2 linked regions of the Macaca mulatta genome follow. The protein of the gene in region 2 interacts with the protein of the main gene of each other region in a biochemical or structural test. Links are inferred from orthologs where the notes say so. Each region holds a gene or a part of one and is shown on either strand. Other genes may lie near its edges.

The links. The genes of interacting proteins can lie anywhere in the genome.
Region 1: of the proteins of DYRK1B (region 2) and HNF1A, one has a biochemical effect on the other in vitro, tested with the Homo sapiens proteins (2 studies listed by IntAct, with this or other methods). The link is inferred for Macaca mulatta from reciprocal best matches to the Homo sapiens genes DYRK1B and HNF1A.

The regions. Positions count from the first base shown.
Region 1 is NC_133416.1:128,327,885-128,333,612, forward strand, and holds the end of HNF1A (hepatocyte nuclear factor 1-alpha), read left to right. Parts: intron 1-248; coding exon 249-440; intron 441-2,039; coding exon 2,040-2,161; coding exon of another isoform or gene 2,162-2,254; coding exon 2,255-2,452; intron 2,453-3,824; coding exon 3,825-4,046; 3' UTR 4,047-5,289; downstream 5,290-5,728. UniProt on the Homo sapiens protein: Transcriptional activator that regulates the tissue specific expression of multiple genes, especially in pancreatic islet cells and in liver. Binds to the inverted palindrome 5'-GTTAATNATTAAC-3'.
Region 2 is NC_133424.1:50,953,233-50,958,612, forward strand, and holds the end of DYRK1B (dual specificity tyrosine-phosphorylation-regulated kinase 1B), read right to left. Parts: intron 5,157-5,380; coding exon 4,870-5,156; intron 4,229-4,869; coding exon 4,082-4,228; intron 3,998-4,081; coding exon 3,857-3,997; intron 3,560-3,856; coding exon of another isoform or gene 3,440-3,559; coding exon 3,244-3,439; intron 2,846-3,243; coding exon 2,739-2,845; intron 2,646-2,738; coding exon 2,274-2,645; 3' UTR 1,920-2,273; downstream 1-1,919.

The sequences.
Region 1 (5,728 bases), on a different chromosome or scaffold from region 2:
TTTTGAACAAGTCACTGCCTGCCTCTCCCACTAGCCTAGATAAGGAGCTAAAGGCTCAAAGAGGGGGAATGACTTGCCAGAGCCACTTAAATTAGTGGCAGGTCCCAGTGGAGGGCTGTTTCCTGACCACCCTGCCCCCTCCTCCAAACCACGGGCTCTGGGAAGGAGAGGTGGTGCCCTTGGGAGGTCTTGGGGGGTGATGGGATGTAACTGGGGGGCCCAGCTGATTCCCGCCCCTTCCACTCCAGGCCTGGCCTCCACGCAGGCACAGAGTGTGCCGGTCATCAACAGCATGGGCAGCAGCCTGACCACCCTGCAGCCCGTCCAGTTCTCCCAGCCGCTGCACCCTTCCTACCAGCAGCCGCTCATGCCGCCTGTGCAGAGCCATGTGACCCAGAGCCCCTTCATGGCCACCATGGCCCAGCTGCAGAGCCCCCATGGTGAGCACCCTGTGCCCCACACAGGGGGAGATGATGATAGAGGTTGGCTGTCAATGGATGCAGGGGAAGGGGGTGCCTGGCAGGCGTTGCAGTCTGAGTGTGTCTCCAGGACAAGTGTGTTTCCATGATTGAGGGTGTCTGCAGGCCACAGTGTGTTCCCATGTGAATGCACATATCTGTGTGTGTGCACATGACTGCTTGTGTGAGCAGATCCCTAGTGCATGTCTAGGTGTGTGTCAGTTGTGCATGGGTTTGTGTGTGTGTGCGTGCCTCTGTTTCTGTGAAACTCTTAGGGCCATATGAATTTCTAAAATCTATTCAGATTTTAGAAAGGTAATCTGGGGCCAGGTGTGGTGGCTCACAGCTGTAATCCCAGCACTTTGGGAGGCTGAGGTGGGCGGCTCACTTGAGGTCAGGAGTTCGAGGCCAGCCTGGCCAACACGGTGAAACCCCGTCTCTACTAAAAGTACAAAAATTAGCCAGGCATGGAGGCACGTGCCTGTAGTCCCAGCTACTTGGGAGGCTGAGGCAGGAGAATCGCTTGAACCCGGGAGGTGGAGGTTGCAGTGAGCTGAGATTGTGCCACTGCACTCCAGCCTGGGCAACAGAGTGAGACTCTGCCAAAAAAAAAAAAAAAAAAAAAAAAAAAAAGAAAGAAAGAAAGGTAATTTGGTGGATATGCCAGCTATCACATAACACTCCTAGCAGGGTTTGAGATAGCCCACTGTGGTCAAAGCACTGCTATTTCTGCAGCCAAAGTAAGATTTCCACAAGGCAGTTCAAACACTCATAACCTCATGTCAGGTTCAGGCTGGGTTTTGCCACCAAATGAGCTCTAGTGCCAATCTTAAGGAAATCTTTTGGTTTCAGACTTTTTTGGAATTTGGGACTGGGTTAAGAGATTTTGGGTCTGTATATGTCTCTGTGTGTACGTGGTTGAGAATGTATGTGTGTGTGTTACGTTTTTGTCTGAGTCACTGTGAGAATATGTGGTTTATGTGAGTTTTCCTAGCGTCTGTGTGTCTCTTGTGGGGTCTGTGTGTCTCCTGCAGGGTGGGGGGAGGTGCCGTAGGCAAAACATGGGGTTTTATTTGGAGAGGTGGCCTGGAGATGGAGGTACTGCTGTCCTCTGCCTTGCTCTTTGACAGGGGCCACCTGAACTTAGTACACGGCACCCGAGTTTAGTACAGTAGCACCTGTGCTTAGTACATGGCACTTGTGCTTAGTACATAGCACCTGCATTTAGTACAGTAGCACCTGCGCTTAGTACGTAGCACCTGTGCTTAGTACAGTAGCCCTGCACCCACGCCTCCCGTTCCCTTTCATACCTGCTGTCTCCAGGTGACACAAGCTGGAGTTGGTTTCTGGCCTCCTCCAGGCTCCCCTGCATCAATCCCAGCTGAGCAGTTCCCTGTGATGGGGAAAGGGTCTGTCCCTCTATCTGGAGCCCCCAGTTTTGAAAATCAGTCCTGGATCTCCAATTGCTGCCCAGTCTGGTTGTTCAGCAGGCTCCATGGCCCCCTTTCCCCGGTCCTGAGGCCTGGGACGGGGGCTGTCAGGCACGTCTGCCACGTCTGCCCCTCTCTCCCCTGCGGCCAGCCCTCTACAGCCACAAGCCCGAGGTGGCCCAGTACACCCACACGGGCCTGCTCCCGCAGACTATGCTCATCACTGACACCACCAACCTGAGCGCCCTGGCCAGCCTCACGCCCACCAAGCAGGTAAGGTCCAGGCCTGCTGGCCCTCCCTTGGCCTGTGACAGAGCCCCTCACCCCCACATCCCCGGGACTCAGGAGGCTGCTCTGCTCCCCCAGGTCTTCACCTCAGACACTGAGGCCTCCAGTGAGTCCGGGCTTCACACACCGGCCTCTCAGGCCACCACCCTCCACGTCCCCAGCCAGGACCCAGCAGGCATCCAGCACCTGCAGCCAGCCCACCGGCTCAGCGCCAGCCCCACGGGTGAGAGGCCCTGGCTCCACCCCCTCCCTTACTATCTCCGACCCCTTCCCCATGTTGGTCCCACCCCTTTTGTTGCTGTCCTGTCACTGTGGGGCTGTGCATGCAGCAGGCCTAGGCCATGTGGGGAAGCACTGGCAGGCATGGGGGGTTGGGTGGGGTTCCCCGCCTCCCAGACATGGCCTGTGTGCCCATGAAGCCCAAGAGGCACAGGTGACCCCAGGAAGACAGGGTTCACCTTGCAAGAACATCTCAGGGGCTGGATTGAGGAAAAAGATGAAGTCATGATAAGGAGCAGGTCTGTGAGCCAGAAGCAACTCTTGCGCGTGTCTGGTTTGGCTTGGCTCAGGGTTGAACATTCTTTGAATTTGTTGCTAACATTTCAAAATCAGGAATTTTCACATAGAAATCTGGATTTCTGGCATCTTTTGGGAAATTGGAAAAATTCATACTCCCATATAACAGCTCACCAGGCCTCACTGCATCCACTCACATTGGCTCCAATGACCCCTGGCGGTGGGGTGGTCACCTGAGTTTGTAATCTATGATGTCATTATCAGGAGTGGGCACTTTGGAGTCAGGTGGCTGGGCTTTGCAGCCTGTCTTTTTGCAAGCTGCCCCCTTTCTATAAGGTTCCTGGACCCGGCCCTGGCAGCTGTCGTGACAGCCACCGAGGCCATTCTATGTCCTGGCATTCACCCCGTGAGGCATCTGCATGATCACCCCCATTTTACGGATGAGAAAGTGGACACTTAAGGAGGGGAGGGACTTGCCTCATCTCCCACAGCTACCAGATGGCAGGGCCAGGACTCGAACCCAGGTCCAACCTCAAAGCCCATTCTCTTAACCATGGCCATCAGTCAGGGTTCTCCAGGAACACAGAACCGATGCATTTACCTGAAGGACTTGGCGCGTGTCTGCAGGGGCTGGCAGGCCTGAAATCTGTTGCTGGCAACTCCGGGGAGTGAATTCTGCAGCCTTGAGGCAGAATTCCTTCTTCTCTGGGAAACTGGTTTTTGCTCTTACGGCCTTCCACTGATGGAGAAGGCCCACCCATATTTTCAGGGTAACCTCCTTCACTCAAAGTCAACTGATTGTGGCATTAACCACATCTACAGAGCACCTGCATTCACAGCAGCGCCTAGATTAGCGTTTGGCTCAGCCTAGCCAAACCAACACGTACAACTACGTACCCCGGCATCTCACCGGGGCTTCTCCAGTGTTCCCACTAAGATGTACTGAGGCCACTCCCTGGGCGGCCCCGGACCCTGGCTGGCAGGCTCCCCTTGTTAAGAACCGAGGGTAGAGGTGTGACTTTGGGGTTCCTGTTATCTGCTGTGATCCAGGAGGTGTGGCTCTGCCTCCTCATCCCAAGTACCCCTCGGGACGGGCAGGTGGGGTGGGTGTGGGTGCCTGGTGGGTGGTCAGCAGCCTCGTTTGCCTCCGCAGTGTCCTCCAGCAGCCTGGTGCTGTACCAGAGCTCAGACTCCAGCAACGGCCACAGCCACCTGCTGCCGTCCAACCACAGCGTCATTGAGACCTTCATCTCCACGCAGATGGCCTCTTCCTCCCAGTAACCACGGCACCTGGGCCCTGGGGCCTGTACTGCCTGCCTGGGGGGTGATGAGGGCAGCAGCCAGCCCTGCCTGAAGGACCTGAGCCTGCTGAGCTCCTGTGGCCCTTCCTGGACAGCTGTGCCTCGCTCCCCACTCTGCTCTGATGCATCAGAAACAGAGGGCTCTGAGGCGCCCCAACCCATGGAGGGCTGCTTGGGTTGCACAAGAGGGGGCCATGGAGAGCTAGGAGCAAAGCCTGTTCCTGGCAGATGGAGGAGGGACTGTCCCTGCTGTGTGGGACACAATCTGCTTACTTGGAACAGAAGGGGGCGGCCTATGACTTGGGCACCCCCAGCCTGGGCCTGTGGAGAGCCCCGGGACCGCTACACCACACTGGCAGCCACACTTCTCAGGAAACAAGCCTGTGTAGCTGTGACCTGCTGAGCTCTGAGAGGCCCTGGATCAGCGTGGCCTTGTTCGGTCACCAATGCACCCACTGGGCCACTCCATCCTGCCCCAACTCCTTCCAGCTAGTGACCCACATGCCACTTGTACTGACCCGATCACCTACTCACACAGGCATTTCCTGGGGGGCTACTCTGTGCCAGAGCTTGGGGCTCCAATGCCCGAGCCCAGGGAGGCCGAAGCTAACAGGGAAGGCAGGCGGGGCTCTCCTGGCTTCCCCTGTCCCCAGCGATTCCCTCTCCCAGGCCCCGTGACCTCCAGCTTTCCCGGGTATTTGTTCCCAAGAGCATCACGCCTCTGAGGCCAGCCTGGCCTCCTGCCTCTACCGGGAAGGCTGCTTCAGGGTTGGGAAGTTGTCCTTATTCCTGTGGGAGCCTCGCAACCCATGCCAAGTCTAGGTCCTGGTGGGGCAGCTCCTGTCTCGAGGGCCCTGCAGACCCTGCCCTTATTTGGGGCAGGAGTAGCTGAGCTCAGAAGGCAGCAAGGCCCGAGCAGCTGAGCAAGGCCCAAGCGGCTGGCCAAGCTGAGGTGCCCAGAAGAAAGAGGTGACCCCAGGGCACAGGAGCTACCTCTGTGGACAGGACTAATCGAATCCTGGGGGTCTGGCTGGCTGAGGGCAGTTCGTAGCCACCCTGAGGAGTCCGAGGTCCTGAGCACTGCCAGGAGGGACAAAGGAGCCTGTGAACCCAGGGCAAGCGTGGTCCCACATCCCTGGGCCTGCTGCTGAGCACCTGGCCCTCAGTGCACCGCCTCCACCCTGGGATTCAGGAAAAGGCCTGGGGTGACCCAGCACCCCTGCAGCTTGTAGCCAGCTCGGGTGAGCGGCACGTTTATTTAACTTTTAGTAAAGTCAAGGAGAAATGCGGTGGTAATTTCTTGCTTGTCCACAAATCATTCAGACGGGGTTTGGGCCGGCAGAGGGAGGCTGGGGCAGGCCCGGGGTCTGCGAAGAGGAGAGGGGCTCCCGCACTCACGCTCTCACACCCCACGTCTCTGCTTTTCTGGCTCTGCTGAGACTCGAATGACGAAGCCAGATTTCATCTTAACCTCAAGCTTCTACTTTAAAAAACAATTTCGTTTTGGAGACAGGGTCTCACTGTCACCCAGGCTGGACTGCAGTGGCATTATATGGCTCACTGCAGCCTTGACCCCCTGGGCTCAAGGGATCCTCCCACCTCAGCCTCACAAGCAGCTGGGACCACAGGCGCTCACTACCACGCCCAACTAATTTTTGTATTTTTTTTTTTTTTATAGAGACGAGGTTTCACCATGTTGCCCAGGCTGGTCTGGAACTCGGCTCAAGTGATCCAC
Region 2 (5,380 bases):
CCACTGCACTACAGCCTGGCGACAGAGTAAGATTCCGTCTCCAAAAAAAAAAAAAAAAAAAGTGACATATACATTTCCATGGCTCTCCCAAATTCCTCACAAGACCTACATGATCTTGCCCTGCTGATACCTCCTTGGTAAGTTAATGGCACACACACACACATCCTGGGCCCTCCCCTTCCTAGCTATCGATACTGGTCAAGTTACCTAACCTTCTCTGTCCTAGGTATCATTTACAAATGGGAGATCTCATCAGCACTTGCCTCCTAGGATTGTTCATTCAAGACATTAGTTACTGAGCATCTGCTCTATGTGCTGGAGATATCCCTTCCCCACTCCTCCCTGCCTCCCCCTCCCACACAGCCTGTCAACCTTCTGGACGTCTCTCCCATCCCCTCTTGCCCTCCCAACAGTGACCCGTGCCCTGATCCATTCCCAACATCTCTTGCCTAGAAATCTATCACATCTGCCACCCTGGGTTGCCCGATCCCAGTCACTTTCCTGCTAATCTATTCTCATGTCACAGCAAACTGGGCCGTACCCCTTCCCCACTAAAAATCCTCCCATGGCTCTTCATTGCCCTCAGGACAAAATCCAAGTTCCCTAAATGGTCAAGAAAATCTTCCACATCTCATTCATAGAGAACTTTCAGTATGATCACCAACATCAGATCACCTGCAGTCCATGTTCACACATCAAGCTGTTTCTGCCTTTGCTCAAGCCATTCCACCACACCGCCCCCGACCCCCCAAAACATCCTTCCGTCTTCAGGTCTCAGCTCAGACAGCTCCTAGTCTTCCGGGATGATCTTCCTACCAGGGCCTCCTCGGGTTCCCACCGCGTTCCACGCCGCCTCCATTAGTGAACATACATAGGTCCACGACGGGGTCCTTGCCTGTCTCTCCCGCTGAGCGGGGCTTCCCGCAAGCCGGGCCAGGCACAGCAGCCAGTAATGTCCCCGTGCTGGGGCCCCTTCAGGCCTCGGAGTCTACCGCCCACTCCGGAACTGTGAGCGACAACCGGCACGCTCTCCCGGCACGGCGCCGCGCCCACCTTCCGCACACCTCGAAGACCTCATCACCTGCGCCAAAGCCACCCAATCACGGTCTTCTCTCCACCTCCTAACCACCACGAACATCCAGGACCCGGATACCTCAGACTGCTCATTGGCTGCCTGAAAACCCGCCCCCAAGCCTGAGCGAAAAGAACTCTGGTTGCCGTAGTTCCCCGACACCGCAGAAAGCGACTAAGTAGAACTCCATTTCCCAGAAAGCGCCGCGCCCCAGTGGTGGGAGACGGTACCCTTTGAACTGGGCAGTTCTTGATTGGCCGGTTGGGAGACGTACATTTCCAAATTACCATGGAAACAGGACCACTTACCTGGAACCCCGGGAAAATCTTTTTTCCTTAGAATCTCAAAACACTTTGTTTCGCGATGATTCCAAAGGGTTGGATAGTACACATGTGGGGGCAGAGTCTGTACCTATTGTCTGCCTATTCCCCAGTTGGCGCCAACAAAGCCTGCTAAGTGCACTCAGCGGCTACTGGACGCCTGCTTGGCCTGAGGAGCCACTCCTGTGCTGGCTCTGCGGACGCCCCGGCTTATTAGGGCACCTGTTTCCCAGAGACAGGCCAGAGCTGAGCCTTTACCCTTTCAGTCTGTTTACCCAAGAAAAGGCAAATGTAGGCCAGGATCCCATCCACGATCAGGATCCCATCCACGATCTCTCTAGAAAGCTGGTGCCCCAGACCTGCAGCCCCATGCCTGCAACAAGAGCCACAACTTCCCCACAAGAGACGTCTCCACACCACAGAGCTCCTCCAGCACCCCCTCCGCAAACCCCCTTCCCCACCACGCCTCTGAGGGTCAGGTGAGGGGAGCCGAAGCCCTGCAAACGCTCAGGCAGGCATGTGAGAAAGCTCTTTACTGGGGGTACAGCGAGGAGGAGCAAGGCCATCTCCCCCTACCTGCCCCCACCCCCTCCTAGGTTCCTGGGGTGAGGGGGGTCTTCCCTCCACCGGACCACCACTGTCTTTGGTACAATAAATAGAAAAAAAGGGGGAGAGGGGCCCAAGGGTCCAGTCTTTAGTGGGGAGGGAGCGGCCAAACCCCTCTCCTTGACCCCCCTGCCCCAGGCCCCAATCAGTGCAGGCCTCACCCACCCCAGCTGGGTAGCAGCAATTCCAGTCAAGGAGAGAGATGAGGATGGGAGCCCAGGGCCCCCAGATGGGGGGGGTATGGCTTCAGGAGGGGCCCCAGGGAGGGGGCAGGGTCATGAGCTGGCTGCCGTGCTCTGGGGTACACCACGGAGGCCCAGGTGAGGCCCCAGAGTGGCAGGGTCATCAGGAGGCGGGAGGGGTGGACGACCTCCCGTCATCCGAGTCCGGAGGGCTGAGGCAGCCGGGTGCTGGGGGGCAGGCGCTGGGTGAGGTGGGGAGCAGTCAGCAGGCCCGCCCACCAGGCTCACATCCATCAGCTCCGGAGGCGGTGGTGAGGTTGGTGATGGGGGACGACCAAGGTATCGGGGCTGGGGGGGTAACTGGGCCCCGGTCCCAGGCAGTGATGAGGCAGAGGCCGGGGCTTGATGTGTCTTGTGGGGCACATCACCCCCTGCCCAGGGCCGCAGTGGCTGGGAGGGTGGGACCTAAAAAAGCAAAGGAGCAATGGATGATGGAGACCCCAGTCCTTAAGCCCCAGGCACCACCACCCACCTCCAAAGCCCCCAAAGCTTCATTACCTGGGGGCTGTTCATCTCACAGTCTGTGATAGGGGGCCCAGGGCCCCCACAATATCGGTTGCTGTAGCGATAGGTCCGGTTGTCACTGGAGGAGCCACTGGAGCCTCCTGGAAGTGCCAGGGAGGAGAGGTGAAGGGGCATAAGGTGAGAGAAGGTGGCAAGTGGGTTTTGGGATGGCTGAGTGAAGTTCATGGCCCAGGCTCAGGTTCAGGCTTCAAGATCAGAGCCCATCTGAAGAACCAGGCCCAATTTTGAGATTTTAGATTGGAATTCAGTTTTGGGTTTTAGAGTCAGAACCAGTTTCAGGGATCTGAGCCCAAGTCCAATTTCAGAGATTGTGTCAGGGCCAGCTGGAGCTCTCCCATCCCACACATCATCTTAGAGTTCAGGATCAAACAGTTTCAGAGCTCTTGTGTGAAGACCCAGTAACAAGGTCCCCTAGGACAGGCCAAACCTGAGCAGCCCCCACCCCTGTTGTACCCCATTTGGGCACGTGGGCACCCACCAGAACTGGAAATGGAGCTGGCGGTGCTGGAAGAGGGGCAGGTGTCGAGAGGCGCGGGCGAGGTGGAGGCACTGCTGCCTGCCGGGCCCGTGTTGGTGGCCTCGTCGGCCGTGCGGCGGAAGAAGCCGTGCTGCAGAGCCCCCAGGGGGCTGATGCGGGCGGCGGGCTCATACTCCAGCATGCGCAGCACCAGGTCCTGGAAGCGGAGGTAGTCGGCGGGGCTGTGGCCCGGCTCCCCCGCCCGCCGGCCCCCGGGCCCGCCCGTCTGCACGCCCAGCACCTCCTGCAGCCGCCGTGTCCCGGGGCCCTGGTAATCCTGGCAGGGAGGGGGTGGGAGGGGGGGCAAGAGAGTGGCCGTCAGTGGGCAGGAGGGGCAGGGAGACACACATGGGGAAACAGAGGCACAGGAGAGAAAGTGGAAAGAAAAGCTAAGAAGAGTTGTGGGGTGGGAAGGAGAGATGGGAGATGGGGTGGGCAGGGAAGGAAGGAAAAGACAGACAAGGGGGACAGGAAGGAAGGGAAAGACACAAGGGAGAGGGAGCAGGGGGAGAGAGCCCCAAGTGTGAGTGAGGGGCCACGGGGTGGGAGGAGTGGCGTGGGGCAGGGGCCGCACCTTCCTGAGTTCTTTTGTCCTTCGTAGGGTCCAGCCACCCCCAGGCAGCCGTTCAAAGTACTTGCGAGCCTTGGGCGCCTGGTCCAGCATGGCAGCCGGCGGGATGCCCAGCACCTCCACAATGCGGTTCATCTGGTCCACCTGTGAGCAGGCGGGAGTCAGGGTCATCAGGCCAGCCAGGCTCCACCCCCTCCACCTCCAGCACACCCCTTCCTGGGGGCACACCTCATTGGAGCCACTGAAGAGGGGCTCTCCGGTGTGCATCTCCACAAGGATGCAGCCCAGGGACCACATGTCAATGGCCAGGTCGTAGGGTGTGCCCAGGAGCACCTCAGGCGAGCGGTAGAAGCGGCTCTGGATATACTGGTAGATCTGGGAAAAGGGTCATCGTCAAGGGTCCCAGCCTCCTCTACTGGTCCCACTGACACCCCCAAAGCTAAGAGGACCCAACTAAGGACAAGCCTCTTGCTGACAAAATGGGGACTGAGGCTCCAAATCCTGCCATTATCAGCACCAGTTTTCTGGGAGCCACTGGTGCCATCTTGTTTATCAATCTGGGGAGCCTGCTGGCCTAAAGAGACCCTGATCTCCACCCCCAACCCCGATCCTGGGCCTTTCTGGGTCACCAGGCAGAGGCTGACATTCCACCAGCCCTATACTATTGTCATTTTTAGTGGCAGCTCACACAGAGTTGCAAAGTTGAAGCCTTCCACCTCCATCCCCGGCTTTAAGAACACAGAACACAAAAACTTAGTAAAGCAGCACCCAGGGCTCAAACCCAACCCAACTTTACCCTGTTCACATCTGGCAGCTTCAAAACGAGCCCTGCCCCCTCAGGCTTCACCCTCCCCATCCTAGTGGGCAGTACATCCACACCCCCACCCCAAGCACTATCCTTCACTTCCAGCAGTTCCTAATAATCCCATCCCAGCCAAGCCCCGCCCCTAAGCCTCCTGTTGGCCCTGCCTCACCCAAACCACTAGCCCTGCTCCCAGGACCGGGCTGCCCCGTACCCTCTGGCCAAGCTGGCAGGAACTGCCGAAGTCCACGATCTTGATGGCGCTGCGCTTGGGGTTGCAGAGCAAGATGTTTTCGGGCTTGAGGTCGCAGTGAATGATGCTGAGCTCAGGCGTGGCCAGAAAGAGCAGTGCCGTGCAGAGCTGCTGCGCCAGCTTCCGGGTCAGGTTCAGCGAGACGCCGCGGAAGTGGGTGTTGCGCAGGAGGTCATACAGGTTGTAGGACAGCAGCTCGAACACCAGGCACAGGTGGTTCCGGAACATGAAGTGCCGCTTCAGGTGCACTGCGAGGGAGGGGAGAAAATGGGCCAGAGAAAAAATGGCTCAGAGAGGGCAGGTGGTGGCCTGGGGTCATACAACACTCTTTGATCACTAGCCACATGTGCTGTGCCCACGGGTACCATCTGCTAGTCAAGATCTTTTTATCTAACAAACAACTAGGTTCACACAGGAAGTTAACGCTCTTTCCAAGTCTCTGTCAAACCCTCCAATTAAACAAACGAGAAAG